Linked DNA regions of Cricetulus griseus. The protein of the gene in region 1 purifies or fractionates together with the protein of each later gene. This does not show direct contact. Links are inferred from orthologs where the notes say so. Each region holds a gene or a part of one and is shown in the gene's direction. Other genes may lie near its edges.

Region 1 (7,419 bases):
CCATAGGACTAGTGATTTAAAATAATCGGTGTCACTTCATTTATTTCTACTCTAATCTATTAAACTCAGCATAAAAGCTAGAACATATTTTGGTGTAACATTCAACTGTTCCTCTTAAACCAAGCCATACTGTACTATCCAGTAGTATCGAAGCCAGATGTGGGTGTTTAAATTTATTCAAATTAGCTGTTAAATGTGGAACTTTTTGCAATTTACAAATTCCAAGTTTGCAATTTTCAGGATAGCCTAGAATACATAGTGAGACTGTCTCAAAAATAGTTAACATTTCAGTACCTTAGTTGTCTTTGCTACATTTTTGTTTGTTTCCTTTTTAAGACAGGGTTTCATATATCATGAAGTGACTTGAATCTGCTGTGTCCATGGTCCAGGCTGGCATTGAACCCCTGATTTTCCTGCTTCTACTTCTCAAGTGTTGGGATGTACAGATGTATGCCACTACCCCCAACCTCACGTTAGCCTCATTTCTAATACTCAGTATTCAATGGTTACCATATTGGACAGCATAAATAAAGGACATTTCCCTAGCTGTTGAAAACCTAATTAGCTCTGTGTTCAAATACATGCCTGATAATTAGTGTATAAGAGGCAAATTAAGAGCAGGAACTCAGAATTCAGCTGTTAAGTTCAGATCTTATATCTGACACTGTGTGGTCTTAGATGATTGACTTAACTTTTCTGCAACAGTTGTCATAATATAAAATAAAGATGAAACAGACAGTTTTCAGTTGCCCCCATATTGCATAGCTGACAAATATTTTTCTGTTGTTTTGTTTCTTTTTGTTTTTAAGACATGTGTCCCATATGAACCTCAAATTTGCTATGTAACACACATGATAAATACCATGGCCAAAAGCAACTTGGGAAAGAAAGGATTATTTGGCTTTCACATCCAGATTACAGTTGTTCATTGAGGGAAGTCAGGACATAACTGTATGTTAACCTGTCTTTGTGCCTGAAAGGGGGAGTGTGGATTGAGAAACATTAAGTAAAGATACTAAGGAAGAGAGAGACACAGAATAGAGTCAGGAGGGTAATCCAGTGAATACTGAATGTGCCAAGTTTATTCTTCAACAATCTTAAATACCCCAACCAAAAAGGGGAAAATGGCAAAAAAAAAAAAAAAAAACCCTTCTTTATCAAGATACAAGGAAGAAACAAACTTTCTTCCTTAATTCTCCAAACATTTGGTAACCATGCCTTAGACTAAATTTCTCATTCTCTTGTCTTGAGGGTTAAGAGTAACAACGCCTAAGGCCAAACATCCTACAGTAGCAATGCCCTAGACCTTTAGGTCTTGTGACTTTAACCTTGGAAAAGTAAAGATAGTTTTAAACTCTCTGACCTTAAGCCAAGATGAAATGAAGCTATTTTTATGGGCCCCGACACAAAGCTATGGAGGAAAGCTGTTTAGTGGCTTGCTCAGCTTCTTATATCCCCCAGAACCACCTGCCAAGGGGGAGCAACACCCACAGTGTGCTGGGTCTTCTTACATCAGTCAAGAAAAAATGGCCAATGGATATGCTCACAGAAAAGTCTGATGGAGCGGTTCCTCAATTAGGATTTCCTCTTCCAGATTTACCTAGGCTGTTTCAAGTTGGCAGAATTAACCAGCACTTACCTATATATTACATTGATTAACTGTTCTATGTTCAACCAAACTTGCATTCTTGGAATAAATAACACTTTTTAAAATTTGTTGCTGAATTTAGTTTTCCAGCGATACTGATCTGCAGTTACTTAAAGGACTTTTTTTTCAAACAAAATGTTTTGATCATATTCTTTGTCTTCCCATTACCTAGGTCCTCCCCATATCCCTACCCACCCAACTTCATGTTCTCTCAGTCCAAAAGAAAAAAAGGAAAGATGGCAAAGGGGGGGGAGGGGAGTACACACACACAAAGTGGAGTACTTCTTGTGTTAGCCAGCTGCACCTGTACATGGGGCCTGCCCTAGAGTGTGGTTGATAAACACAATGATTCATGTAGAGACACATGATTTTCCCTTTCCTAGCAGGTATTAGTTGCAAATAGCTTCTTAGGGGTGGGACTTGGTATCTACTTCCCTTTCTCTATGCTGTGCTTTTTGTCTGGTGTTAATTTGTGGAGGTCTTTGTATGGTGTCACAGTCTCCATGAGTTCATATGTGTATCAGTTCTTTTGTGTCTAGAAGATGCTGTTTCCTTGGAGTTGTCTACCACTTCTGGTTCTTGAAATTTTTCTGTCTCCTCCTCTCCATAGTTCCCTGAGTCTTAAGGAAGGGATGTGATAAAGACAATCTGTTTAGAGATGAGTGCTCCAAAGTCTCACTCACTAGACATTGTCCAGTTGTGACTCTTTATGTTTATTACATCTACTGCAACTGTGCATTTCAGTGTACAGTAAGTATAAGGCCCCTTTTTCCTTCACAGAAAATGATCCACAGTCTATTTCTCATCAACTGCTCTGGCGACATATTTCTAGAAAAGCACTGGAAGAGCGTTGTAAGCCAGTCTGTCTGTGACTATTTCTTTGAAGCTCAGGAGAAAGCTGCTGATGTTGAAAATGTACCACCTGTCATTTCAACACCTCACCACTACCTCATCAGTATCTACCGGGATAAGCTCTTCTTCGTGTCTGTCATACAGACAGAAGTGCCACCTCTCTTTGTAATTGAGTTTCTGCATCGAGTTGCTGACACTTTTCAGGTTTGTATTCATCAAACTGCTGTAACTAGATCACTCAAGATACTTGAGAGACCAGTGTTCCTGTTTGTTACTTAGGCTCTTGATGTGTACAGTGTGACTTTCCTTAATAATTAAACATAACCTCATAAACACTTGTATTCAGTCACACACATTGCTGCTCTGTTCATTTTTATATGTGTGGCAAACTATACCATCAGGAAATGAGAGTGCCCACTTAGAATTATGTGGATTGCCACAAAGATTTATTGATCATGAGCTCTTCTAAGTTTACATTATCTATTTTCTCTTGTTTTGGTAAATAAACCAAATAGCTTAAAGCTTTATGTGTTTGGGAGTGGTTTATCAGGGCTAATGAAGTTTACAGTTAACATTTCAGTACTTTCTAACATGATATATGATAGGAATCAATTTTGTATAAATATAGTTGGAAAATATTGTAGAAAAATGTTGGCAAGTTCCCGGACAGGCTCCAAAACTACACAGAAAACCCTGTCTTGACAAACCAAGGGGAGTGGGGGGAGTAGGTTAGGTCTTCTTAGATAATTTTTTATGTCTATATATATATCTAAGGTCTTAAACCATGAGTTAAGCTACTGTTTATTTTTCAGAACAAGAAAAGCAAGCCTTCCTTCATGCTTTCTGTTGTTCAATATTATGAATATTTTGTTAGGACTACTTTGGTGAGTGTTCAGAGGCTGCAATTAAGGATAATGTGGTCATAGTGTATGAGCTCTTGGAAGAAATGTTAGACAACGGATTCCCACTGGCTACTGAATCTAACATTTTGAAAGAACTGATTAAGCCACCAACAATTCTACGTTCTGTCGTCAATTCTATTACAGGTATGAAAGCTGAAAACACTCTGCTAGGAAGTGATCCACTGAAACTTTATGAACAGCCCATTTTGTTCATATGGCAGACTATTAGGGTAGTCTAATTTGGCCAAAATTAAAATTACCAATAATGTTAAAATAAATGGTGGGTGGGTGTGTGTGGGTGGGTGGGTGTGTGGGTGGGTGTGTGTGTGTATACATGCTTATACACAAATGCATGCCTGTTTCCATGCCATAGCATAGTTACGGAGATCAGAGCTAGGGATTCAATCAGGTCTTCAGGTGTTACCTACCTACCGATTGACCCATCTGGCCAGCCCCCCTTTTCTTTTGAGAAAGAGAGAGCAAGAATAATAACAAAAACAGATATATAAAGTCATATATAGCTCATGTGTGTAATCATAGCACTTAGGAGGCTGACCAGGGAATTGCTAAGTTCAAAGCCAGTCTGTGGTACAGAGTGAGAAATATGTTTCTTTTATTAAAAGAGACTCAGTCTTGCATGACAAAGGACTTTTAGGGTCCAGGTATAGCTCAGTGGTAGAGCATTTGCCTATTGCTAGGTTCAATGCCCAATATTTCAAAGAAAAGAACTAGTAAAATAAGTAGAAAATTAGATTGTTAATAGAACTCATGTATAGTGGACTTTCTGCTTTTGTTATAAGCTTCCAGTTGAGTTTCATTGTAGACCACACCTAGAAATCAAGTATGCCCAGACAATCTTTTGAGGATTAAAGGTCTTCTAGAGAGAGTGGGCTTGGAGACAAAAACCTTTAATCCCAGGATTCAGGAGATGAAGGCAGGTGGATGGATCTCTGAATTAGAGGCCAGCCTGGTCTACACACGAAGTCTCAGGTCAACCTAGCTCTGGGACTGTGTTCAAAAAAGAAGAAGAAGTCTTCTGGAGGTAGAGTTTTATGGAATGTAGTTTAAATATCTAAACATTTTAAAGAGCAATTCCATACTTCAAGGACATTGTATTGAGGTACTGGAAAACTCACAATATTCAGTGGTGGGGCAACAAAAATGGGGGGGAAAAACAAGCACAAAATCATCAAGGTTTTGCGCGCGCGCGCGCGCGCGTGTGTGTGTGTGTGTGTGTGTGTGTGTGTGTGTGTGTGTGTGTTTACGAAGATAAATTCTAAAATGGCCAGTTTATGGTGGTGCCACCTTTAATCCAGCACTCAGGAGGTACAAGCAGACGGATCCCTGAGTTTGAAGCCAGCCTGGTCTACAGAGTCAATTCCAGGAGAGCCAGGGCTGTTACACAGAGAAACCCTGTCTCGAAAAACAAAACAAAATCTAAAATGTTTACATTGGCTATCTCTAGCTAAGAAAACATCTTTATTTTGCTTTATACATTTTTAGGGGGGTGTGTGTGAATGCCCAGGATAGAGATGTCCTGCTCTATCACTCTCACCTGATTCCTTTTTTTGAGACAATGTCTCTCACTTAACCTGAAACTAGGCTGGTGGCCACCAAGCCCCAGCCATCCTGTTTTGACCGCCACAGTGCTTGGGACATGGGTATGTGCACAGCCATACCCATCTTTTTTTGTGGGGCTGGGATCTGGAGTCAGGCCCTCATTTTTGCAAAGCAAGCACTTTTATCCCCTGAGCCATCTCTCCAATCCACTTCATACTTTAACTTTCCAAAAAAAAATGTATTTAATAGGAAAAAATTAATGTGAAACTATAGCATGGTTTGATAAAGTTTAAGAGAATAGTTCAGGCTGGATGTGGTGGTACATACCTGTAATCCCAGCTACTAGGGCAGCTGAAGGAGAACAGCTTTGAGTTTGTGGCTAGCCTGGATTACAAAGTGAGAGAATGTGATACACCTGGGCTATATAGATATATATATATTAGTAGAGTCTTGCTTATTATACTAAGGCTTTGTTTCTGTGCCTAGTATGACACATACGTACACATACCAAAGAATGGTTCAATGGATGAAGTAACTTGAACTACCTCGTGGCCCTAACACAAGCCCTGCAGAATCAGTAGGTTACAGAATAAGATAGAGAAATGAGAGCAGTTATGAAGAAAATACACATAAAATGGAAGACTGAGTTGTATTAGCCCCTCTAGCAGTAGAGCTTTTTGTAATTGAACACTGAAGGTACACTTAGAAGGTAAGACTGGGCTGAGTGTGATGTGGGAAGCTGAGACAGGAGACTGTTTGTCCCCAGGGCTAAGCAGTACGTCAAGCTTTTATCAGAAGGCGAGTGGGAAGCATAAAGGCTTCTGAACAGGGAAATAGTATGATTAAACAGTGTTTTTATAATACTCTTGGAAAGTAACAGGTTGGAGACAGGAGGGCCATCTATAAATAAGCTGTAAAAAGAGTGTTAGCCTTCTTAGCATAGTGAGATATATGTGTAATCCTAGCACCTAGGAAGCTGGTGTCGGAAGATCCCTAGTTCTCAGGCATTCTGGGCTACATACATTCCTCGTCCTTAAAAACTAATCTAGATTTGAACATACTGTGTTGCTGTGTAGCCAAAGATGACTTTGAACTTCTAATTCTCCTGCCTCCACTGTCTCACCAGTGCTGAGGTTAAAGCGTGTGCTCCACCATTCAGTGCCAGAGAATTCAGTGCCAGGGCTTTATGCCTACTAGACAAGCATGCTGCCTGTTTTTTGTCCCTGTGAACATAGGGCTTTATGTATACTAGGCAAACACACTGCCTATTATGTCCTGAAACCATATTTTATGTTTGATTTAAGCTTGGTGTGGTTTTGTGTGTGGTTTTTTGGTTTTTTTTTTTTTTTTTTTTAAGACAGGGTCTTACTCTGCAGCTCAGGCTTTCCATTAGCAATCTTCCTGGCTTAGCCTCCTGAATGTTGGGGTATAGGATATGCTCCCTGTCTTGCAACCTGTTTAATCAAGACAGGGTCTTGCTGTGTAATTCTCACCGCCCCAGAATTCACAATGTAGACCAGGCTGGCCTCAGACTTGTTGCTATCCTCCTACCTCTGCCTCTCAAGTGCTGGGATTATAAAAAAAGAAAATAGAATGAACAAAATAGAAAAAAGTTGGAGGAAATATTTAAAGAAATGTGCCTAAATGTTAATGGTTGTTGATGTTAGTAAAAAACATCTTTTTTAAAAAAAAATGTTTTATAAAGTTACTACCTTTTACAACTGTTCAGCATGGATTACTTTTGAATTAAAAATGTAAACTAACCAAAATGTTTGGTAAGTCATAGTGGAAGGGTTTCTATTTGGATAGTCATACATATGCAGTTTGCCTGGAAGTTGGCCAGATATGAACATTAGTCACATTTCAGGCAAGATGGCATGTTGATCTTAAGAAAGGTATTGGGGCTTTTGTTTTGTTTTGCTATATTGGGGATTGAGGGTAGAGCCATGTGCCTGCTTGGCAAATGCTATACTACAGAGCTACATTCTCAGTGGTGTGCTAATATTGAAATGGGAATAAGCAAAAATATGTTCTTCACCTAGTTACTCCACAGAGTCTAACTTGGCAGCATCTCATGTAGAATTCCCCTGAATACCAAATAACCAGGTTCAGACTATATTCTCAGTGGGGACTTCTGCCCACTAGGTTGTTCAGCAGCCAGGCCTCTTTTTCATTGCAGGCAGCAGGATAAGATTCTGTTATTGAGCCAGTGGAGTTAGTTTAGGTTACTGCTAACACACAAGAAGCAAAAGATAAGTGAATGCATTTATCTTGATCTAACAGGTACACAGAGGAGCACATGGCCTATCTCTGTCCTCTTGCATGGAATATGTCTCTACCAGTTCTAGAGCCCATCCTCAGCTGCAGTGAAGGAAAATCCAAATGTAAAGCAGAAGCTAAAGCATCCTTTTTCCTTTTTTAATAGCTTTTTCTGATAACCATTACACACATCTACTT
Region 2 (7,419 bases), on another chromosome or scaffold:
TACGTGACTTCATTGACCACCTGGACAGGTGGGTGCTACCAGTTTTCCTCCTGTAAGGAGGTCTTATGTTCTGCCCTGATAGTGTTGGGGGAAGCTTATAGACACTTGGGTAGCAAACGCAGGTTCTCATCCTGTGTTGGAGATAAATTGTCAGCATCCTGGCCTAGGGAAGGGATTATGGCCAGAGGATGAGGAGCTCCAGGTCTCTGGTAATGCTGTAGAAGATATGCGGACCATATGCCAGGACTGGGGGGCCTGCTTGGCCCCCATCCAGTTCTTCTGACCACCCCAGAGGAGTCAGCTGCAGAAGGTCCTTAAGAACCTGCTGCCAGAAGGCAGCAAGGGAGACAGAACACCTTAGGCCTTAGGTGTGGCCCTTGACATAGGAGTCAAGCCACACTGCCCACTAAGTTCCTTTATCTTTCTTTGAAAACAGACCTCCAGGTTCCTCCTATTTCCGCTATGCTGAGTCTTCCATGAAGAACAGCTTTGGCCTAAAGTACCTGCATAAGTTCTTCAACATCCCATTTTTGCAGTTACAGGTAAGTGCTTACCAGGTAGGGCCGACAAGTGGGTAGCCATCATTTTTGTGGCTCTGCTCAAGGACCCTAACAGCACTCTTGGGCACCTTTTGGAAGTTGGCTACCAACATGTATCCAGTGGGCTGGAGACGCCACTCACAGTGGGCCAAAAGTGGGATAACATGTCTCGCTCTCTGAGAGCATCCAGAAGTTTCCATCTAACATGTACAGAGCCCTTATGCCTCTTTGGGACACTGACTAAAGTGCAGACCCCTTTACCAGATGAACATATAGCTATGGAGGTCCTAGTCACACAGATCTGTCTGTCATCAAGAGATAGGTTCCAAGACATGCAACTTCTGTGACTCCACATCAAATTCTGGGCTGGCTATACTCGGAATCATAGTCCTCTGGCCATCTCATGAAGAACAGATAACTTGCACCCTGTCTGAAGCATTTAGCCTTCCTGATGCAGCTGAGGCAAGTAGGGTGGCCTGGTAGGGTGAAGAGCTGCACCTACCCTGATTTTCATTGAGTGTTGTTCTTGGAATCTTTCAGATAAATAGAAGTGGCATAGGCTAAACATGGTGGCACACACCTGTTCCCAGCATTCAGAAGACTGAGTCAGGAAGATCACTTCAGGTTTAAGGCTATGTAGTGAGGCTCAGTAAGTGGAAGATTCATCTCAAAAAAGTTAAAGTGCTGGGCATGGTGATACACACTTGTAATCCCAGTACTTGGGAAGTAGAAGCAGGAGGATCACAGGTTCAAGGTTAGCCCTAGCTGTGTAACAAGTTCAAGACCAGCCTGGACTACATGACACCCTTTCTAAACACACAAAACACACACAAAAAAAAAAGCCGGATGATGGCAGTGCACATCTTTAATTCAAGCACTCGGGAGGCAAAAGCAGGCAGATCTCTTGAATTCAAAGCCAGCCTGGTCTACAGATCAAGTTGCAGGACAGCCAGGGCTGTTACACAGAGAAACCCTGTCTCAGAAAAACAGCAACAACAACAAAACAGAATTTGCAGAGATAGTATAAGATGGCCTTATCATCACCCAGTCCCCAGTGTCTCCTGTTTATGTTCTATATTTGTCAAGGTCAAGGAACCAGTCTCAGTCTATAAACTAAACCCAAAGCTCTATGTAGTTTCAGATCCCCCTCCCCGCCCCAGGACCCTACCCTGCTTAAGCTGTGGTCATTTTCTCCGGTCCTGAGGTGTGCTGTAGCTTCTCAGAACTAGGAGAGCAGCAAAGCTGAAAATAGAACAACGCTCTGGATCCTAAGCATAAGAACCGAGGACCAATTCTTTTTGGAACCAGGAACTGAAACAGCTTGGTGTGGGGTCTCTGGTGAATAAGAAAACCAAAGAGGTCTGGCTACCTTTCTGGACCTGGAGACCTGTAGCCTCCCCTGAGTATAGAGACCCTTCATACTTTATCCAATACACCAAACTCAGGAAAGTAGCCTTCCTTTTCTTCATCTCTGTCCTTTTGAGAAACATGATATTCCTGCAGCTGGGGTTATGCTGAGGAGCCATGGGTAGGAAGAAGAACAAACCTACAGGATCATAAGGAACTTGTACTAAAGGACTTCCGCTGAAGACTTCTGTTGTGAGACAAAACTTTTCCTGGGGTAGACAACTTGCCATATCTACTTGCCCCAGATGTATACAGTCTTCTATCTGCATGCAGATCTCATTCAAGGCCGTTGTGAGCCACCATGTGGTTGCTGGGAATTGAACTCAAGACCTCTGGAAGAACAGTCAGTGCTCATAACCGCTGAGCCATCGCTCCAAACTGAACCAATGAGTTTTATTGGGGTTACTTACAGAAGCAAAAATGACAGAAAGACAACTGTATCACCAAAGCCCACTCCAGTATAGGTCAACAGCTCATACAAGCTGGAAACCTGGAGTACTCTGCACAGCCTGTAGGCAGCTTAACAGGTCAAAGAGTATCCTTTCCAAGTGTCTTTGTAGCTGGTTTAGTCTGAGTCTTCTTTGCAACCTTTCTCCTCTGAGAGTCATCTTTTCATCTCTACTTCCCTCCTAAGGGGGATTCTCAGCTTTATTGCTTACTCAGGCAGGGAGGACCTAATGAATCTGGTCAGTTTCAGGGACTTCCTGAAGCTATTTTAAGTTTTTACCTTTCTACTTAGAGTCCTGTAATATGGAATGTTTCGATCTTGGAGGAAACTGTTACATAAAACAACTCACACTGCTCCACTCTATGAAAGCTTTACCACTGATTCCTGCCAGGGGAGACAGATGCCAGGATAGTCATTGGTGCTAGAAGCCTAAGCTGAGATCCAGAACAACATAACTTTCCTCCATGGTTATTTGCAGGGAATATGATAGCTACTGTCTGCTGGCAGGATGGTGGGTACCTAGAAGTAACCATGGATTGAACCATTCCATCTTGAAGGGGCTGGCTGCTCTTCTATAAGATGGCAATTCAATTCCCAGCACCTGCATGGTAACTCAAAACTGTCTGCAACTCTATCCTCAAGGGATTCAAAATGCCTTTCTGGCTCTGTACATGGTACACAGACTAAATGTCTATATACATTAAACAATTTTTCTAAAAATGACTTTGGGATGTAACTCAGTTGTTAGATACTTGCCTATTATTCATAACACCCTGGGTTCAGTCCTTAGTGCTATATAAGCCAGGTGTGGCACATGCCATAATCACAGCAATAGGGAGGTGGAGACAAGAAAGAAAATAAATTTTGCACCATCCTTAGTCATATAGCAAGTTCCAGGCCAGACCCAGATACAACAGACACCATGAGGCTGAAGAGATGATTCAGTGGTTAGTAAAGCCTGCTGCTCTTCCAGAGGACCTGAGTTCAGTTCCCAACATCCACATTGGGTAGCCAACAGCTGTCATAACTCTAGCTTCAAGAGATCCAATGTACTCTTATAGATCTGGGCATTCAAACATGTGGCTTTCACTCAGACACACATATGCACATAAAAATAACAAAACAAGTCTTTTAAAAAAACTATAAGACCGGGTGGTTGTGCACACCTTTAATCCCAGCACGCTGGAGGCAGAGGCAAGTAGACCTCTTTGAGTTCAAGACCACCCTGGTCTACAAAGTGAGTTCTAGGACAGCTAGGCCTACACAGAGAAACCCGGTCTCAGAAAACAAACTATAATTCCAGAATTATTCAATTACCAGTTATTGGTCAATATGCAAAGTCAAGTCTAAATAGACTTATATAGGGTATTTGATGTGGCTGTCTAGGTTTTTCTTGGTATATCACATCTTTAGTTTTAAATTAGGGCCCTCATCTGTCTGTGATATGCCTGCTTGTCCTGAGTATTGATCTGCCTTATTCTCATGTATTTCTATTTTGTCAAAATATAAAGACCAGATCTCTTGGTCTTTAGTTACTCCCACTTTTTCCATTTGGTTTATTTGCTCTGTGATGGAAAGCACTTCCAGTATAAGCCTGGGGCATGCTCTGTCCCGGGGCCATGTTTCTTGTGATAGCACTGTCTAGTAGGGCCTTTTCCAGCTAAAAACGCAGTCCTGTTTCATATCCTGTCCCCTCACATAGCCTGGAAGCTGCTGTATTTTAAGATTAAATCTAAATGCAAAAGACATGGTAACTGAACCCACAGGCTTGATCTGATCAGCTTTGGTCATCATACTAGAAGTGTACGGTTTGCCCAGTATGTACCTGGCAGAGTTTATCACCCTAAGTTCCCCATGGGGCTCCCCAGATGTCTTAAGCACCTATTGCCATGATTTTGTGACCTTGAGAGGCCAACAGTAAGTTCTAGTGACAGCCCAAGGTATGATGTGGAAACAGAAGGTTGTGCTTTCTGGTGTGGCTCCACATGACTGACCTGTATCCTCCAAGCCACACAAGCTGACTTGGGATCCAGCCAGACCTCACAGGAAGAGGCATACTCAGCTATGTCCACTTCCTCTACAGAGGGAAACACTGCTGAGGCAGCTGGAGACAAACCAACTAGATATTGATGCCACTCTGGAGGAGCTGTCAGTGCAGCAGGAAACTGAGGACCAGAACTACAGCATGTACGTGAGCCAACATCTACAGATATGCAGGCCCTGGCTACCCTGATGGGAAGGGCGGGTACTGTACTGTATTGCCAGTGGGCCCTAGTAGTCCACAGATAGGAGCCAGATGCCAAGCTTTGGTCTGTACCTGTGAGGCAGTGGAGAAAGCACCATATACATGGGTGGTAGGTCAGTCAACCTGAGTATTCTTTAGCCAAGCCCTTAGTACTCAGGTGGAGCAATGTGGGGAATAGCTGAGTAACATGGTACACCAGCTCATCTCAGCCTCTTAGGACAGGTACTCCATGCTATTACCCAAAGCCCTTCCTGTTCACCGATTGAGGTTTTTAACTATTAATGTGAATTGCTTAGTAAAGCACTTGCCTAGAACAAGTGTATTAATACTGTGAATTGAGCTATGCTGATCTTGGGGACAGTTTCAGTTTCCTTACAGACCCCTGAGTTCTTGCAGAAAGTGAGGGCAGATAATCCTGAGGGTGGGCTGTATTGGCTCTGGCACTCTATACCCCCAAATAGTTTGGAACCATCAGAACCTACATCTGGTATGGTTCCTACATGTGGATCAGCACAAACCTGTGGTTAAAGCAACTACACATGTATGATTAGCAACTCTACCCCACTGGCAAATAACCAGCCATACCTGCCTCTTGGTCACTAGTTGGGTACTGTTGACAGCCACTGACCTACCCAAACCCTATAAAACAGTTGGTCCTGGTTGACTCTGGTCATTCATCTGTGCTGTGAGACTCAGTTCCCCAGGCAGGTACCAGTATAAAGGGACAGGATATAAGCAAGGCATTAGTCTGGGTACCAAAGACTGTGAGGCAGCTGATTGGCAGGCAGTCCCTATCCTCTGCTTAATAGTATAAATGCAAAAGAGGCACTGATGGTCAAAAGCCTTGGAGAAAGAGGTCCAAGAGAAAGCCAACTTCTCACTCCCTATCCTTTTGCCCCTCCTAGCTTCCTTGAAATGATGGAGGCTCGAAGTCGAGGCCATGCATCCCCTTTGGCGGCCAATGGGCAGAGTCCATCCTCAGGTTCCCAGTCTCCAGTTGTGCCTCCAAGTGCTGTATCCACAGGAAGCTCCAGCCCCAGCACTCCCCAGCCTGCCCCCCAGCTGTCCCTCAGTGTCTCCTCCACCTGTCCCCAAGCACCGTCTCCTGCACCCCCTTTGGAGGCTGTGCCCTCCTCTGTGCAGCCTTCAGCCCCAGCCCCAGCCCCAGCCCAGCGTCGCAGTATCATCTCTAGGCTGTTTGGGACCTCACCAGCTGCAGAAGTGTCCCCTTCACCTCCAGGTAGGCCTGGGAGCAGCCCTCTGAACATGTGAATTTGGAGCTAGCTTCTGGTATCTTGAGCCTCACATCCCTCAGAGACTGGAATGCGGTTCCTGTGTCCCTAATAAGCTCCTCCCTCATGGGCCAGCTGCTGCTGTTTGGACCTATGATCTTGAGTCAGGGTGCATGAATTGTCAAGTCCTAGTCCTACAGACTCAGTTTTGAAGCTTTCCTATCATGGGGCCACATAAGGAAGAAACGGCATTTCTCTACAGAGCCAGCTCCAGCCCTAGAGGCCCCAGCAAGAGTCCAGAATGTTGAGGATTTTGTCCCTGAAGATGGCCTTGATCGAAGCTTCCTGGAAGACACAACCCTGCCTAAAGACAAGAAGAAAATTGGAACCAAAGGCCCACAGCAGGATAGTGACAGGTAAAGATAGATTGATGGAGCTGAGCACAGGGTCTACCTCAAGGGACTGCCAACACAGCTTCCCCATCCCATTTATACCTGGATCTCCAAGACACTGCTGGGGATTGTGGAAAGCCTTTCTTTGTGCTTGCTGGGTTGGTGTCTAGCTTTAAGGAACGAAGGCTGAATTCTGACTGGAAAAACTGAGGGAAGGGCTGCTTAGATTAATCACTGCCACCCTGGGGTATGTAGATAGCCAGCTCACCATGGAGTGGGGCAGTTTATGCCCACAGCAGACTGGAGAACACTGGGCTGGAATCTTCCTAGGACAGCAAGAACCTTGGCAGATGGCCCAGCAGGGACAGAGGCACTCTGAATATATCCTAGCCCATTCTATGTGTAGGGCATAGGGAAGGCCACCTGGGTCTCTCCATATGGACCCAAACAAGCAAGCCTTGGCCAGGTGTGGCTTCCTGTAGCTACCCCTTCCCACAAACCCCATCTGTCTTCTAACAACACACTAAAACCTGTGTACAGCCAAGCTCTAAGATCACTCTCTCTTGCAGATCAAATGTTGAATGACTGTTAGCATCTCCAGCATCATCATGTTCAATGGAGCCAAGGGATTCCCTTCCAGAAACAAATAGATTCAAGGCTTCTAGCTGGGCTCCTCTCCCACTGATTCCCTCATTGGCCAGCAGCAAGGCAGTGTTGTCCTATTATTCCCACCTCTATTTAGCAGCCCCTGTGACAGCCCAGAAGGTCTTGTCAATAGAATATGGTACTGTAGACAGGGCAGCTCTCCAGGCAGTGGGGTAGGGAATCATAGCCCCCCTCGAACTTCTGATTGCCTTCCCCCTCTTTGCAGTGATGATGGGGAGGCCGTAGGAGGGAACCCAATGGTGGCTGGTTTCCAAGATGATGTGGACATAGAAGACCAGCCACATGGCAAATCCCTGCTGTCCTCAGACCCCATCCCCAGTAAGAACATCAGTCTTTCCAGTGAAGAGGAAGATGAAGGACTGGCAGGCCACCCCAGAGTGGCTCCTCAGCAGTGCTCAGAGCCTGAGACAAAACGGTATGGGCTAGGGTCCTCGGGGTATGGCCAGCTGAGATAGTGGCATCCTAGGGTGGCCTCAGAACTCCTGACATT
Region 3 (7,419 bases), on another chromosome or scaffold:
TGCTTCTCCCAGTCAGCTGATCTGGTCTCAGTCTTTGCAGCTTGCTTGGCTGAGAGTCTACTTTGTAGCTTAGCTCCTCTGATCTCCGAGGCTTCTTTTAGACCGAGAGAGAGACTCAGTTTGTATTGTTTCCTCTGTCTGGTAGGTAGGGGGTCTAGTGAATCTGGTTAGTTTCAGAGTCTTCTGGAAGATACGGAGCTTCTCCACAGGTCAGAATGTTTCAATCTCAAATGAAACTGTTACAGGACACTAGAGTTCCTTTCACAGCTACCCAACCCCTCCTCTAAAGGCAGGGAAGCAAGATCTGGTGGTAATAGCCAGGAATAATGTCTGATCTTCCCATTAGGAGTCCTAATGCCCTCTCAGGCCTGTGTCTCCACTTTTGCCCTTAGGATCCCAACCAGCTGATCCGTGCCAGTGCCCTCCGTGTCCTTTCTAGCATCCGCGTTCCCATCATAGTACCCATCATGATGCTAGCCATCAAGGAAGCTGCCTCGGATATGTCACCCTACGTTCGGAAAACAGCTGCTCATGCCATCCCCAAACTTTACAGGTGTGCCCCACCTTTGCCCTTTGTCCTCCAGGGCCCTGGGTTCCTAAGCCCCCAGCTCATCCCTGACCTCACCACAGTCATGCAGACTGCTACTCATCTGGCGTTAGACAGTTTAGGGATCTGACAAATACAGGCCAAAGGTGGGGGCTCACATCTCTTAATAAGTGGGTGTGTGTGCCTGAGGTGAGCCTGGCTGGGGCAGCTGTTGGGGAGCCTGGGGACAGGAAGAGACATATTGTTTCTCTCTCAGTTTGGACTCTGATCAGAAGGACCAGCTGATAGAAGTCATTGAGAAGCTTCTGGCAGACAAGACCACGGTGGGTGCATTATGGGAAGACAGGACAAGCGATGGGAAGGGAACAGACAGACGCTGGTTCAAATTCTTCTACCCTTCCCATTCACATCCTCTTGCTTTGCTTCCCCAGCTGGTGGCTGGCAGTGTAGTGATGGCCTTTGAGGAGGTCTGTCCAGAGCGTATTGACCTGATTCACAAAAACTACCGGAAGCTCTGTAACCTACTCATTGACGTGGAAGAGTGGGGCCAGGTGGTGATCATCAGCATGCTCACGCGCTATGCGCGCACACAGTTCTTGAGCCCCACGCAGAACGTGAGCTCGGGGCTCCAGTCCTGTGGAGGGGAGGGCGGTCCTCCAGGGAAGGCGCCCACAGACCCGCCCGGCCGTGTTCCTTCAGGAGTCCTTGCTGGAGGAGAACCCCGAGAAGGCCTTCTATGGCTCCGAGGAGGATGAAGCCAAAGGCCCTGGATCGGAGGAGGCAGCCACTGCTGCGCTGCCTGCTCGGAAGCCCTATGTAATGGACCCGGATCACCGGCTTCTGTTGCGCAACACCAAGCCCCTGCTGCAGAGCCGCAGCGCCGCGGTGGTCATGGCAGTAGCCCAGCTTTACTTCCACCTTGCGCCCAAGGCGGAGGTGGGCGTCATCGCCAAGGCGCTAGTACGCCTGCTGCGCAGCCACAGGTGCGGGAAGCCCCGCCCCCTCCGCAGTCCGAGCCCACCCTTCTCCCAAAAGTTCCTTCCTCCCAACTCTTTGGCCAACCTATTTTCCCCAACCCACTGCCCTCCCTGCAATTGAGGGGTTCAGAACCCTCTGACCCATCTCTTCCACAGTGAGGTGCAGTACGTAGTGCTCCAGAATGTGGCCACCATGTCCATCAAGCGCCGGGTAAGCATGCATTCAAGGCCCGCTCTGGATTCTGTGGGCTCTGAGGAAGCTGTTGGGACAGAGGGTGGGAGCATAGAGGACAAGGGAATTAGGGTGGAATGAAGAGGGATGCCCATAAAAATAGGGGAATTACCCCGTTGAGGGTGTAAGTTTTAATGACCCCCCAAATGCAAACCAAGAGCAGGGTCTAGATCCTGAAGAGGCCATGGTGTGTGTGTGTGTGTGTGTGTGTGTGTGTGCCCCATGAGAAGAATAAGTCAGATCTAAGGTGGACAGGGAACATGGGGCAGGGATGAGCTGGTTGAGGCTTAAGGGACATGAGGCCTGTGCTGGAAGGGACAGATGTCTCTGGAAGAGACAAATCTAGGGCTGTGGTCGAGATCCCCAGGAATGCTCTCTTTTGCCAGGGCATGTTTGAACCCTACCTGAAGAGCTTCTACATTAGGTCTACGGATCCCACCCAGATCAAGATCCTGAAGGTAAGTGCAGGACAGTGCATGGCCTCGGATTCCTGCTCACCACCTGGTTGAATACCAGCTGGGCTAACTAATACTGGTCACAATGGTGCCTGCCACTTTCTGGAGCTGAGCCCATCTCTAGGCTGCAGGTGTTTGTTCAGGTGGTGAGGAACTGCCTCTGGCTTGTGTCGTGGAACAAAACTTTCTGGGGAGATGCAGAATATATCTACTCATCCTAGATAGGGATCCCACAAGTCAAGGTTCAGATACCACTAAAGTCCAACTGGGTAAACCAATAAGTTTTACTGGGGTTACTTGCAAGAGTATGGAGCACTTACAGGAGCACAAATGACTAAGATAGCTGCATCACCAAGGTCCACCCCCGCATGAGTGACAGCTCACAAAAGCTGGGAACCTGGAGCACACTGCACGGCCTGCAGCTAGCTTAACAAATTGGAGAATGTTCTTTCCAAGTGACTCAGTTGGTCTACAGCTCTTCTAGGCCACTGGGCGGTTTCTGCTTCTCCCAGGCAGGTGGTCTGGTCTCAGTCTTTGCATGCTTCCCTGATCATGGTGGCTCTTGTTTACTCTGGTAGGGAGGCATCTAGTGAATCTGGTCAGGGAATCCAATGCCCTCTTCTGGCCTCTGCAGGCACTGCATGCACATGGTGCATAGACAAAACAACATGGGCAGAAAATAAATAAAATTAGAATAGGGCTACCATCATTTGGATCAAGGAAGCTTTCCTTGATAAGATGGAGTCTAAACTGAGACCTGGTAAATGAATGTTAATTACCTAAGTAATTTCAGGGTCAGAAAGGGGAAGAACTGCTCCATACAGATGGAATAGCCTTTGCAAAGACTCTGAGGCAGGAAGCAGGAAGAGTGGTCAGGTCCAGAAACCTTCAGATCATCCCTGGTTTCTATCCTTAAAGGAATAGCTTTCTGTGGATGAAGAAAGTGACATGACCCTACTTCACCTATTCTTTGTTGGGGACCTTATTGAGGAGGCAAATTGATCCTCCTGTGTTTTGAAGGTTTATGATCTTGCATTTCCATATACTCTGAGCATGTGCAGAACTGTCCTGAGTATTACTTTCTAGTCCATAAAGTCTGTTTACAATAAAGCTCAGAAAACCTGCTGGCCACACTGGTCACTTTCTGCCTCCACCTCTCCCTGCAGCTGGAAGTGCTGACCAACCTGGCCAATGAGACCAACATCCCCACAGTTCTACGGGAATTTCAGGTACAAGCCATGGGCTAACCTCCAGGCAGCAGCTCCCAGGAGAGGAGCCCAATAGATCCTTGAACCCAGTGAGAATTGGCCTGATCACTCTCATTTTTGGCAAGAGCCCCAAACTGTAGAAACTGTTGCCTAAGTACCCCTTTCAGTGCCTTCTGTTGGCTTTGGGCTGAGAACTCCCTCAATGTGGTTTGGAGATGTCATAATCCGAGACTTAATCTGTGGCATGATGGATGTAAAATGAGGGTTTACAGTTTTAGCCTACATGAAGGTCACTTTTAAGCTCTTCACTGTGGGGTCACTACTTACTGGATGTTCCTGTGTCATGATGTCCCACAGACCTACATTCGCAGCATGGACAAAGACTTTGTTGCAGCCACGATCCAGGCCATTGGACGATGTGCAACAAACATAGGCCGAGTCCGTGATACCTGCCTCAATGGCTTGGTGCAGCTTCTGTCCAACCGTGATGGTCAGTGTTTGCCTGGAGAAGTGTTCGTCCTTGATGGTGTATGTGTCCCTGCATGTCTGACCCTGCTGGCCAATGGGTTTTCCCGTGTGTGTGTGTGTGTGTGTGTGTGTGTGTGTGTGTGTGTATGTGTGTGTGTGTGTGTGTGTGTGCAATGTATATCTGCTTCAGATAGTGTCCAGGTGTTGCTGTAACTGGAGGGCTGCTTGAGGAGTGCAGGGGGCTGAGGAAGAGGACCACCAAGGGCATTGCAGGTGTGCCTGTCCACCTTGGTGTGGCCATCCAACTGTTCTTGGGCTCAAGTTCTCATTCTCATTCCCTAGAGCTTGTGGTTGCAGAGTCAGTGGTGGTCATTAAGAAGCTGCTGCAGATGCAGCCAGCGCAGCATGGAGAGATCATCAAACACTTGGCCAAGCTCACAGACAACATCCAGGTGAGAGAGCAATGCTGTGTTCCCAGCCTGCCCCAACATTGCCCCCACGATTTCTTTTTAAAGATTTCTTTTGCTTTAAATTATGTGTGTTGTGAAGTGGGGATGGGTTTATGCATGTGAGTGCCAGTGCCTGCAGAGGTCAGAGGCTTCAGATTTCCTGGAGCTGGAGTTACAGGCAGTTGTGCACCAACCAGCATGGGTGCTGGAAACTGAACTTGTGTCATCTGCAAGATCATCAAGTGATCTTAACTTCTAAGCCATCTTTCTAGCTCTGACCTTTACTTCAAGACCCTGTAGCCAAATGCTTTAGCTTCACCCCAATCAGCTTCCAAATTGAACTTTGGAAGTTCTTTAGGTACAAGGAGAACGATTGGACTGTGTGACCTTGTTGTCCAAGATTATCCCTGTGGGGCTCCCTTACAGAGCTCTTCAGCTTTTCCTACCACTCTTTATTTTCCGCCATAGTTCTCACCAAGGATGGGTGATTGTTTAATCCCTTGTTTTTCTGTTGCATTGAAGAGTTGAAATATACCTATTTTCATTACTGGAGATTCAGGAATACTGACATGGTGGTACAAAAGTAAATCTAGAAAACCGTGGTTGACTTTACAGCTTGGCAGCTTTACCCATGATAATGAAACCATGTGGAATATGGGGTGGCATTTATAAATGCCCACCTTTGAACCTATTCTACCCCTTTGCCCCCATCCTCGGACACCTATAAGACAGTAGGCCAGCATAGATAGCAGCCATTTCCTTGGCAGTTCATCCTACCCTCACCAATCTGTTTCCTGTAGTCCTAACACCTGTTTATACCCACAGGTGCCCATGGCACGAGCCAGCATTCTCTGGCTCATTGGAGAGTACTGTGAGCATGTGCCTAAGATTGCACCTGATGTCTTGAGAAAAATGGCCAAGTCATTCACAGCAGAGGAGGACATCGTGAAGCTGCAGGTCATCAACCTGGCGGCCAAGCTTTACCTGACCAACTCAAAGCAGGTGAGGAGTGAGAGATGTCCCCACTAGCTTTCTCTAGACCCCAAGAGCTGCCACAGGAAGCATTCTTTTGACTCTCTCCAGCAGGCCTGGACTCTTCTGAAAAGGCATATTAGGACAGGTGACTAGTCTTGCCAAGTCACCAATGCCACTTCAGTGCCCATGGTTATTCTTGGGACTCCAGTGGAGTCACCATTAAAGAGAGTCTCTTGTGAGGCTGTGAGGCTCATGTCTTGATGTTAGAGAGACCTTATCCGTCATCTTTGGAACATGGGCTGTGAGGTGCCTGTGCTGATTGAGCTAAGGGAGGGCTGGCAGTGATGGGCATTGATGGGAGAATATGTATTCCAGGGCAAAGCTTGGTGATGTCTGGCCTGTCTGTTAAGGCTGTGTTCTAGCCTGGGAGGTGTTGGCAACCAGTCCCTTTCGAAAGGTAAAAGATTATGAGAAATATTATAGTCAAGGATGGGGCTCAAGTAAGCTAGAATATCGTGGTGCTTAGAGCCTTTGGTTATCCAGTGTTCCCTGAGATGGCGCTAGCAAATTCTAAGAATAAGGCAGAATGTGCAGAACTTTTCAAGGAGATGGAGATTCCAAACAAGAGGAGAGTTCAGCAATACTGGCATTGGCAAACTGCTGCCCATAGGCTGAACCTAGCCTGTGGCTTGCTTTAACAAATATTTCAATTGGAGCATGTTCGTTTACATATTATGTATGGGTGTATTTGTGCTACAGTGGTAGAGCTGACTACCTTGAAACAGTGTGCATGCCTATAAAAACCTAAAAATCTCTGGCCCTTTGCAGAAAACGTTTTCAGATCCTTGAAGCAAAATATCTGGATGTATGGATCAGGTCTACAGTAGAGCTATAGCCTGAGACCACAGTGTAGCCTAAAGGTGGCTCTTTTGCCAGCCTTTGGCAATCTTAGGATCACAGCACATGGCATCTTTACTGATTCCTTTGATTCACAGTGCTTGGCATGAGTCTGAGGACTCAAGTTGGGATAGGCTGGGCCTCCAAGTGCCAGGACTCTGGTCAGGAGTCAGTTAGGACGGGCAGTAACTACATGCAGGGGCAGTGAAGTACTTGGTCTGTGCGTATCAGTGTTGTGGGGCATCAGTCTGGAGGAGCGAGCAGCACAGGGAAGCAGATGTGTGTGTGCTGTCTTGTTTGGAAGGTTGGAGGAGCGGGTTGGAGGAGCACTTGGAAAAATGAAGCAGGACTGAGGTGTCACTCAGTGATAGAGCATGTGCTTAGCATGCAGGAAACTCTGGTCCCCTGGGTTCAATCCCCAACAGCTGAAGGAGGCAAACCAAGCAAAAGGCACAATCAGTGCTCCAGTAGTGGGGAGTGTGACATGCCCAGAATTAAGCCAGGGCCCTGAAGCCATTGTGCTTTTATAAGCTTGGGCCTGACCATATGACAGTTGTCACTGTCATGGTAGGTGGTGACAATTGACAATGACTTTGACTTCTTTCCTCCTCCTCCTCCTCCTCCTCCTCTCCTCCTCCTCCTCCTCCTCACCCTCTCTCCTTTTACTCTTCTTCCGCCCCTTCTTTTTCTTCATTTCTTCAAGACAGGGTCTCTGTGTAACAGTCCTGGCTGTCCTGGGACTCACTTTGTAGACCAGGCTGACCTCATAATCACAGAGATCCTCGCTCCTCTGCCACCCAAGTGCAGCCACTACTTGTGTGTGAGCCATCACACCTGGGTGATAATTGACTTCTTTACTGGCTTTTTTTGAATCACAGTGGCTAGTGTTAGCCCCAGGGACTCAAGCAAGGGAGGCAGGACCATCAAGTGTTAGAACTCTGGATAGTCATCACTGCTAACTACATGTGTATGCATTCATTCATTCATTCATTCATTCATTCATTCATTCATTCATCCTCTTTCCTAGATGTTCTCTGAGCCTTAGGTACAGTCATCGTGATGTTACATTTTAATCCTTTAAGATTTCCATAGCTTCATAATAAATTACTATCAACTTAGTGGCTTAAGATAACAAAATGATTTTTTTTTCATTTTTATGGGTCAAGAACCTGGTGTGATTCAGTTGGGTCTTATGCAAGACTGTCCTGGGA
Region 4 (7,419 bases), on another chromosome or scaffold:
TCCTATGGGAAATTTTTAGAAATGTCTGATGAAATGATCTTGGGTCATCCTCCCTGGAAGGGAACTACTGCAGCTAATGCTCAGAGACCAGAAACATGCTCTGGTACCCATGAAAGCTCAACAAAGGATCATCTCAGGGACTGGAGAGATGGCTCAGTGGGCAATAGCACTTACTGTGCAAACATGAGGACATGAGTTCAGGTCATAGCACCTACATGGTCAGGCGTGGTCACATGACCTGCAACCCCAGCACTGGAGGGTGGCTGCCAGCCTACCTCCAAGTTCGGTAAGAGAACGTGTTTCAAGGGAGTAAGACAGAACAAATAATAGAACAGGATACTTGGTGTCCTCTTCTAGCCTCTGAAAGTACACACACACACACACACACACACACACACACACACACACACACACACACACACACCATCTCAAGGCTAGGATACCTTGCTTCAAGTCCAAGCTACTTTCTCCACCTTTCTTACATAAAACTGCTGTCCCAGCCAGGTCCAGGAGCTTTGTAAATCCACCCCATCCTGTAGCTACATTGCTTTTCTCAGGACCTTTTCTGGCCTCCTGTGGGGTGGTCCAAAAGTTCTACACTTACTTGACAACAGACGGTAGTACTTCCTACCTTCCTGGTTTGACAGAAAATAATTACAAGTCTTGTTGTTACGGTTTGGTTTGGAATTGGAATTTGAAGTGCCAGGTTGGATCTGGTGGCACACAGGAGGATTGTGAGTATAGGGCTGTCCTGAGCAATTTAACAAGAATATTTCTCAAAAAGATAAGCCCTAGACACGTTGGTCAGCTATGCTTGTCTAGTATGCACATAGCTGTGGGTTGAGTTTCATGGCTATGCTGGTTATGGTGGCACATACCTGTAATCCTACTGCTTGGGAGATAGCATCAGGAAGATCAGAAGTTCAAGGTCATTTTTTAATGGCTACATAGCAAGTTCAAGGTTAGTCTGAGATAAATGAGTCAAACATTAATGTTAAAGTTGAAAGGGGAACTGGGAAAAATGCTTGCACAAGGCCCTAGGTTCAAGTCTCAGTACTGCAAAGGAATGTGAAGTACTGCCCTGCAGGCCCCAGTGAGCACACCCACCCAGGACTTTCTATGGCAGCTCTCCTGTCATCCCTGTGTAGTGGTTGAATCGCCTCTGCTCCATCCTAGCTGTGCATCAAAATTTAACTTTGCTTAGAGTACTACTGGATTATGGATTGGTCCGAATAGCTGGTCTTACTTAATGCCAGCCAGTGTGATGACAGTCAAATGGGTGATAGGAAAACATCTCTTCTTGTATAGAACCTAGTATGTACCAGGCACTAGCCAAGGCCTTTTTATGTCTAGTTTCCCATCTAGTTATCTTACCCAGACATTTACTCCTGTAGTTTTAGAGGGAAGCTGAAGCTTTGAGAATAGAATTTGCTAAAGACCATTTAGCTAACAACAGCAGGGCTAGAATTTAAACATGACCTGTCTGAGTGGAGCCTCTGTCACCACCTCATTGTCTTGAGGATACCAACCCCCCACCCCCTGTCATTGCTAATAGAAGGCCCCAAAGCCATAGACCAAAGGGCAGAGACCACTTGTGGTCTCACTAGTGAGGTGTCTGAGTTATGGATCTGCTGCCATAAGGACCAGGTTTCAACAGCTCAGGAATTGAAGGGGAGACACGGAGTAAGAGGACTGATCACTCAGTTGACTTTTCTATCTGAGGGAGGAAAATTTAACTCTCTGGGGTCGGTGAAAAAGACACACACACACACACACACACACACACACACACACACACACACCACCCACCCACCCATCCCCAACATGTCAGGATCTCTCTGGGGTCGGTGAAAAAGACACACACACACACACACACACACACACACACACACACACACACACACACACACACACACACACCCACCCACCCACCCACCCACCCCCAACATGTCAGGATCTCACCTAGGGTGCTGATGAATGGCAAGTCTTCAGCAGGTCTGAATAGGAGAGGCAGAGCAGGCAAACTACAGAACAGACAAACAGACACACGAGGACTTTTCCAAAGGCCAAAGCGTAGTTCTTCATTTTACTATTCCTTCTGTTGCTTGTTCTACTCTATTCTTTTTCTGTTCTGTTCTTCTCCCCTCGTGTTTCCCTTCTTCTTGTCTTTATTATTTTTTTTCCCCTTACAACTTATATACCCCAGCAAAACCTTTCAGCACTATTAAGTATGTTAATTAAATATGTTTACATTCCATTTTTAAGTGAATGATTTTAATGCATACAAGTGAAAAACAACACATTTCCCATTTCCTTACATGATTAAACATTTTACATATTACAGGTAAAAAACAAATTGTCCCCCAAGAACCCACATACAGTTAAACACTTATCTTTTAGACTTCTCATAGATCAGGAGCCTTTCAGCTGTAGCCGTTTACATAGGCATTGGTTTTTATAATTGCCAGAAAAATAGGTTATTTGTTATACTTTTTATATTAGAATCCTGTCCAGTTATCTTAACTAATCATCTAATTCTTTGTTTTTTAGTTACATGAAGTCAGTTGTTTAAATCTTTGTTTTAGCTATGATGCACACTGAAACCCATTTCCCAATATCAGAAAGAACTTGAGCTAACTCCTGGGACTCAATTGTTTTCCCTAATCATTAACCTAACCACAGTCTGTACAAACCCTCAAGTAAAACTCAAGACCTAGCTCCATGATCCTTTCTTATTCTTATTTTCTATCCTCTGTAGCCCCTGCTTTATCAGGGATGGGGGCAACACCATATCCTACTTTTATCTATATTAATGTTCCCACTAAACTAACCTCTGTCATAATCCCTTACTACATTTGTTTAAAAAACTTTTTTGGGGGGAGGGGCAGGTTTCAAGATAGGGTTTCTCTGTGACTTTGGAGGCTATCTTGGAACTCACTTTGTAGACCAAATGGCCTTGAACTCACAGAGATCCACCTGCCTCTACCTCCCAAGTGCTGGGATTAAAGGTGTGCGCCACCACCACCCAGCTAGTTAAAAAAAAGTTTAATCATCAAAATCCTATTTAAACTAAAACTATCGTTGAATAAAATTGTAAGTTAAGCAGCTTAAGAGGAAATCATCTTCGTAATAATTCACAGATAAAAATGTCCAGTAGAATGGGATATTTCCATGAGATAATTATACTACATTATAGGCTGTGCCTTTACATTTTTCTCTAGTATCTAGCATGTAAAGGCACAGCAGTAGCAAGAGACACTCTGGAACTGAAGCCCCAAGGGCCTTGTGTATCTGAGATTTGCCCATCAGTGCCTTGCATTCTGGTGAGCTGACTCCTGCTGCTCCTCTGACCTGGCCACCAGCATAGATGAGAATGTGGCCTGTCTGACCCCTCTGCTGCTGCCACCAAGGGAGCCACTGTGCTGTGCTGAGTCGTCTTGTTGCCTCTTTTCCAGGTGCACTACATCCTTCAGGAGGTGGTGATGGGTGGGATGGTGTTGGAAACAAACATGAATGAAATTGTGGCTCAAATTGAAGCTCAAAACAGGCTGGAGAAGTCAGAGGTAAGGAAGTAGCTATACTCGTGCCCTGGCTGTGTAGAGAGCACTGGGCAGAGGGAAGAAGGAACATGTACTTGTGTAGTATGTGTCGCTTTTGTATGCTCTGTGGGCTTGTGTGACCTTCTGTGTGCTGTGTAGGTTTGTGTATGCTATATGAGCTTGTGGGTACTGTGTATGTTTGTGTGAGTTTGTACGTGCTGTGTAGGTTTGTGTATGCTATATTAGCTTGTGTAAGTTATATGAGCTTGTGTGTGCTGTGTGGGTTTGTTTATGATGTATGGGCTTACGTAGCTTCATATGAGATTGTGTGGGCTGTGTGGGTTTGTAGATGCTATGTGGGCCTGTGTATACTGTGTGGGTTCATATGAGCTTGTCTGTACTGTGTAGGTTTGTGTATGCTGTATGAGCTTGTGGATGCTATGTGGGCTCATGTGGCTTGTGTGTGCTGTGTGTGCCTCTGTGGTTTGTATGGCTTATGTTTCTCTGGGTCCTTAGGAGGTGGGACCTGTCTCTATTGATTTGTCTACACTAACTTGAAGGCTAGTATAAATATTAAACAGGTAAGGCAACTTGAGATGTCAGGCGTAAAAGATAGGCAGATGGCAGAAAAAAGCAAACAGCTTCTAGAATATGGTTACAAGCACACATTTGTGGTGCTTGTGTGTATTTGCTTGTGCATATCTCATGCTAGGAATTCAAGATTCTTTATTTTCAGTGACACTTCTACAAAATTACAATAATGCTGATTTGAAAATACCCTACCCAGCCTGGAGGTGGTGGTGCACACCTTTAGTCCTAGCACTGGGGAAGCAGAGGCAGGCTGATCTCTGAGTCTAAAGGCCAGCCTGGTCTGCATAGCCAGGGGCTACACAGAGAAATCCTGTCTCAAAAAGCAACAATAACAGAGAAAATACCATACCCATCCATCCTCATGTGGCAACAGGCTTGATGGAGGAGCCATGGTATAGCCAGGCCTGTCCCACTGTGGTCTTAGCCTTCCTCAGCCCTACAGTGAGCAAGGCTAGAGGCATACCCCTCATAGCTGCAGAAATGATGGAACAGTGACATCTGAGTGTCTTTGAGGGTTTCTTTGCTTTATGTAATGGAGCCTGTCTTACAAAACCAGGCTTTCTTCCTGTGAGGACTGCTGATACTGTTGGAGAAGCTTTTCTAGCCACAGCTCTGGCTGCTAGAGTTTCCTGAGGGGTGTCGGCTGGGAAGTGAGTGCTTCCAGGCAGAGTGAGTGAATCAGGCAAGGGGTCTGGAAACCACAGAGACAACCATACAGGGGAGGGTGGAGTGGGAATGGGTGTCCTGAGAGCTGTCAGTCAGGGAACAATGAGTTTCTGAAGTCTTTGTCACTTCTCCCACTGCACTCCCCGGATGAGATGAGCCTACAGGTGTCTGCTGCAGCTTTCCCAGGCCCTGGCAGTGCTTTCCAGCTTGTTGCCACATGATAGTCTAAGCCCATCCTTTTCCAGCTCACACTAAGCTGTCCTAAATCTGATGTTCTGTTTCCTTTAAAGAATTTCCCCAACTTAGCATTTTCCTGTAAGGTGGACTTTTGTTTTTGTTGTTGTTTTTGAAGACAGGGTTTCTCTGTGTAACAGTTCTGGCTGTCCTGGAACTCGATTTGTAGATCAGACTGGCCTTGAACTCACAGAGATTCGCCTGCCTCTGCCTCCCAGGTGCTGGAGTTAAGGTGTGCATGGTGGACTCTTGAAGAAAGGGTTTTGTTTTGTTTTGCTTTGTAAATTGAGTATCCTCAATGCTTAAGACCTGGATAAACCATTATCAGCAACTGATTATTGACCATCAGCCATGAGCACTGTTAGATGGTGCAGCTGCAAAACTGCACAAGACACACCCCCCTCTGCAGACCATATAGTGGGATCATGCCAAGCTCCAGCCATCTAAAAGGGCTTTGTTGACCACCTTTGAAAAGGAAAGAAATGAAAACTCCCATGTGTGCCGTTTGGAATTCTTTAGATCTCCCTCATCTGGTTTGAGATTCAAGCAGATGACACTGGGAAAGTGACTGACTTTGTCCTCCCCTTCCCCCAGGGTGGTCTTTCGGCAGCCCCCGCCAGGGCCGTGTCTGCTGTGAAGAACATGAACCTTCCTGAGATCCCGAGGAACATCAACATTGGCGACCTCAACATCAAAGTTCCCAACCTATCCCAGTTCGTGTGAAAGGTGGAGGACTGGGCTGAACTGGGGTCCTTAGGGTGAGCAAGGCAGTCAAGTTCAGAACCGGAGTCTGTTGAGCCTCTGGAGTCGCACCTCTGGACACTGAGCCTTTCAAAGAGTGGGAAGGGAGTTGAGTGCACACTGCTTGTCCATCCTGCTGCTCTCTGATACACACAGCTGCCTCAGGGTTGGGGACTGTGGAACAAGCCACCTGCTTCTCAGGGCCCCGCCACCGAGACTGAACACATCTGACTTCCTCCCTAGCACCCAGGGCTTCTGAGATTCTGTATCATTCAGTGGGCAAGAGACCAGGGAGAAGGGCCAGCCTTTCAGATGCCAGGTGTGTCAAGTGGCAGGTTGTACTCTGGCTCTGTTAGGGCCTGGACTCCTAGAATCCCTTTGTATAACCAAGCCTTTTGGTCGGCAGTTGCTGCAGAGCACATTTTCCCCACTGGCATATTCCCAGTTTTGTTGCCACAGGCTTCTGTGTGCTGGACACAATTTAAAGCATATTTTGGGGGCATGTCACTACCCCTGCCAATAGGGAGGGCACCCCTACACACATGTGTACACACACACTCATACATCCCAAAGCCCTCTTGCAGATGAGAGACTGGTGTCTGTAGACTTTGAAGGCTGGGTTTGCCCAGAGTTATGACTCTTCCCAAATTTAAAATACGCTGTCTTCCTGGAAGCAGGAGGTTCAGTGGCTGTGTTGTGAATGACGAATCATTTCCCCTTGCTCAGAAACCCACTGACCAGTATCAGATTTTAGAGCTGAGAGTCTGAACTGGGTGCTATGTGGGCTGACCCTGCAGCATGCTAGCCATAGTGCCATAGTATTCTTCAATCTGTGTTCCGCAGTGAGCACACTGGGATCCTTTGGAGGACATTCTCTCACAGCTTTGGAAACCTGTAAATGTTAACATGTGCTGAGTCTTCTTCTTATGGCTAATTTGTAGCTAACGCTGCTGCTGGGAGCAGGCCCTCTTCTCCATGCTGTCAGCTGGATGTCAGGCGTGGTGGTGAGGAACTGATTCACCTTCATGGGGAACTGTCCCAGCCCAGGCACCTCCCCTCCTGCTGGCCAGGGCTCTAGTGCATTCCCCATGGCCTGGTGATGTTGCTGATGGCCCTAGGAGAACCATGTGTCGGGACCTGGTGTTTCTCATTTTCCAGCAGGACTTCTTGCACTTTGCCTATTGCTGCCCACAGTGTCTTGTCCCCATCTTTTCAGTCCTCTATTGGAGCCACAATAATGGGTAGTTTGCTGGAGGACAAGATCTGAGACCAAATCCCTAATGCCATTTTATTTTTATTTTATTGCCCCTTTTACAATGGCTGAATATGAAGTAGAATGAAGGAAACTAGTGTTTTTTGCATCTGCTGTAGGGTGACATGAACAAGATCCTTTAAAAGTCCTTGCCACAGACATTTTTTGTTTTTAAGATTTGTTTTAATGGGTGGTGGTGGTGGTGGTGGTGGTGGTGGTGGTGGTGGTGGTGGTGCACACCTTTAATCCCAGCACTTGGGAGGCAGAGGCAGGCAGATCTCTGAGTTTGAGGCCAGCCTGATCTACAAAACAAGTTGTTACACAGCTGTTACACGTCGGAGGAACCCTGCCTCAAAAAACAACAAAAACAACAAGAAATTATTTTTTGTTTGTGTT

The links.
Region 2: the proteins of Ap3m1 (region 1) and Rabl6 purify together in Homo sapiens (co-immunoprecipitation; 3 studies listed by BioGRID and IntAct, counting the BioPlex papers as one, with this or other methods). This does not show direct contact. The link is inferred for Cricetulus griseus from reciprocal best matches to the Homo sapiens genes AP3M1 and RABL6.
Region 3: the proteins of Ap3m1 (region 1) and Ap3b2 purify together in Homo sapiens (co-immunoprecipitation; 3 studies listed by BioGRID and IntAct, counting the BioPlex papers as one, with this or other methods). This does not show direct contact. The link is inferred for Cricetulus griseus from reciprocal best matches to the Homo sapiens genes AP3M1 and AP3B2.
Region 4: the proteins of Ap3m1 (region 1) and AP-3 complex subunit sigma-2 purify together in Homo sapiens (co-immunoprecipitation; 3 studies listed by BioGRID and IntAct, counting the BioPlex papers as one, with this or other methods). This does not show direct contact. The link is inferred for Cricetulus griseus from reciprocal best matches to the Homo sapiens genes AP3M1 and AP3S2.

The regions. Positions count from the first base shown.
Region 1 is NW_023276807.1:199,937,041-199,944,459, forward strand, and holds part of Ap3m1 (AP-3 complex subunit mu-1), read left to right. Parts: intron 1-2,428; coding exon 2,429-2,704; intron 2,705-3,374; coding exon 3,375-3,546; intron 3,547-7,419. UniProt on the Homo sapiens protein: Part of the AP-3 complex, an adaptor-related complex which is not clathrin-associated. The complex is associated with the Golgi region as well as more peripheral structures.
Region 2 is NC_048599.1:136,936,619-136,944,037, reverse strand, and holds part of Rabl6 (rab-like protein 6), read left to right. Parts: coding exon 1-28; intron 29-436; coding exon 437-542; intron 543-4,477; coding exon 4,478-4,581; intron 4,582-5,544; coding exon 5,545-5,879; intron 5,880-6,133; coding exon 6,134-6,287; intron 6,288-7,134; coding exon 7,135-7,344; intron 7,345-7,419. UniProt on the Homo sapiens protein: May enhance cellular proliferation. May reduce growth inhibitory activity of CDKN2A.
Region 3 is NC_048596.1:116,112,432-116,119,850, forward strand, and holds part of Ap3b2 (AP-3 complex subunit beta-2), read left to right. Parts: intron 1-392; coding exon 393-553; intron 554-803; coding exon 804-870; intron 871-978; coding exon 979-1,161; intron 1,162-1,246; coding exon 1,247-1,530; intron 1,531-1,680; coding exon 1,681-1,735; intron 1,736-2,142; coding exon 2,143-2,214; intron 2,215-3,377; coding exon 3,378-3,440; intron 3,441-3,776; coding exon 3,777-3,909; intron 3,910-4,229; coding exon 4,230-4,339; intron 4,340-5,161; coding exon 5,162-5,338; intron 5,339-7,419.
Region 4 is NC_048596.1:117,715,812-117,723,230, forward strand, and holds the end of AP-3 complex subunit sigma-2, read left to right. Parts: intron 1-3,455; coding exon 3,456-3,563; intron 3,564-5,624; coding exon 5,625-5,753; 3' UTR 5,754-7,404; downstream 7,405-7,419. UniProt on the Homo sapiens protein: Part of the AP-3 complex, an adaptor-related complex which is not clathrin-associated. The complex is associated with the Golgi region as well as more peripheral structures.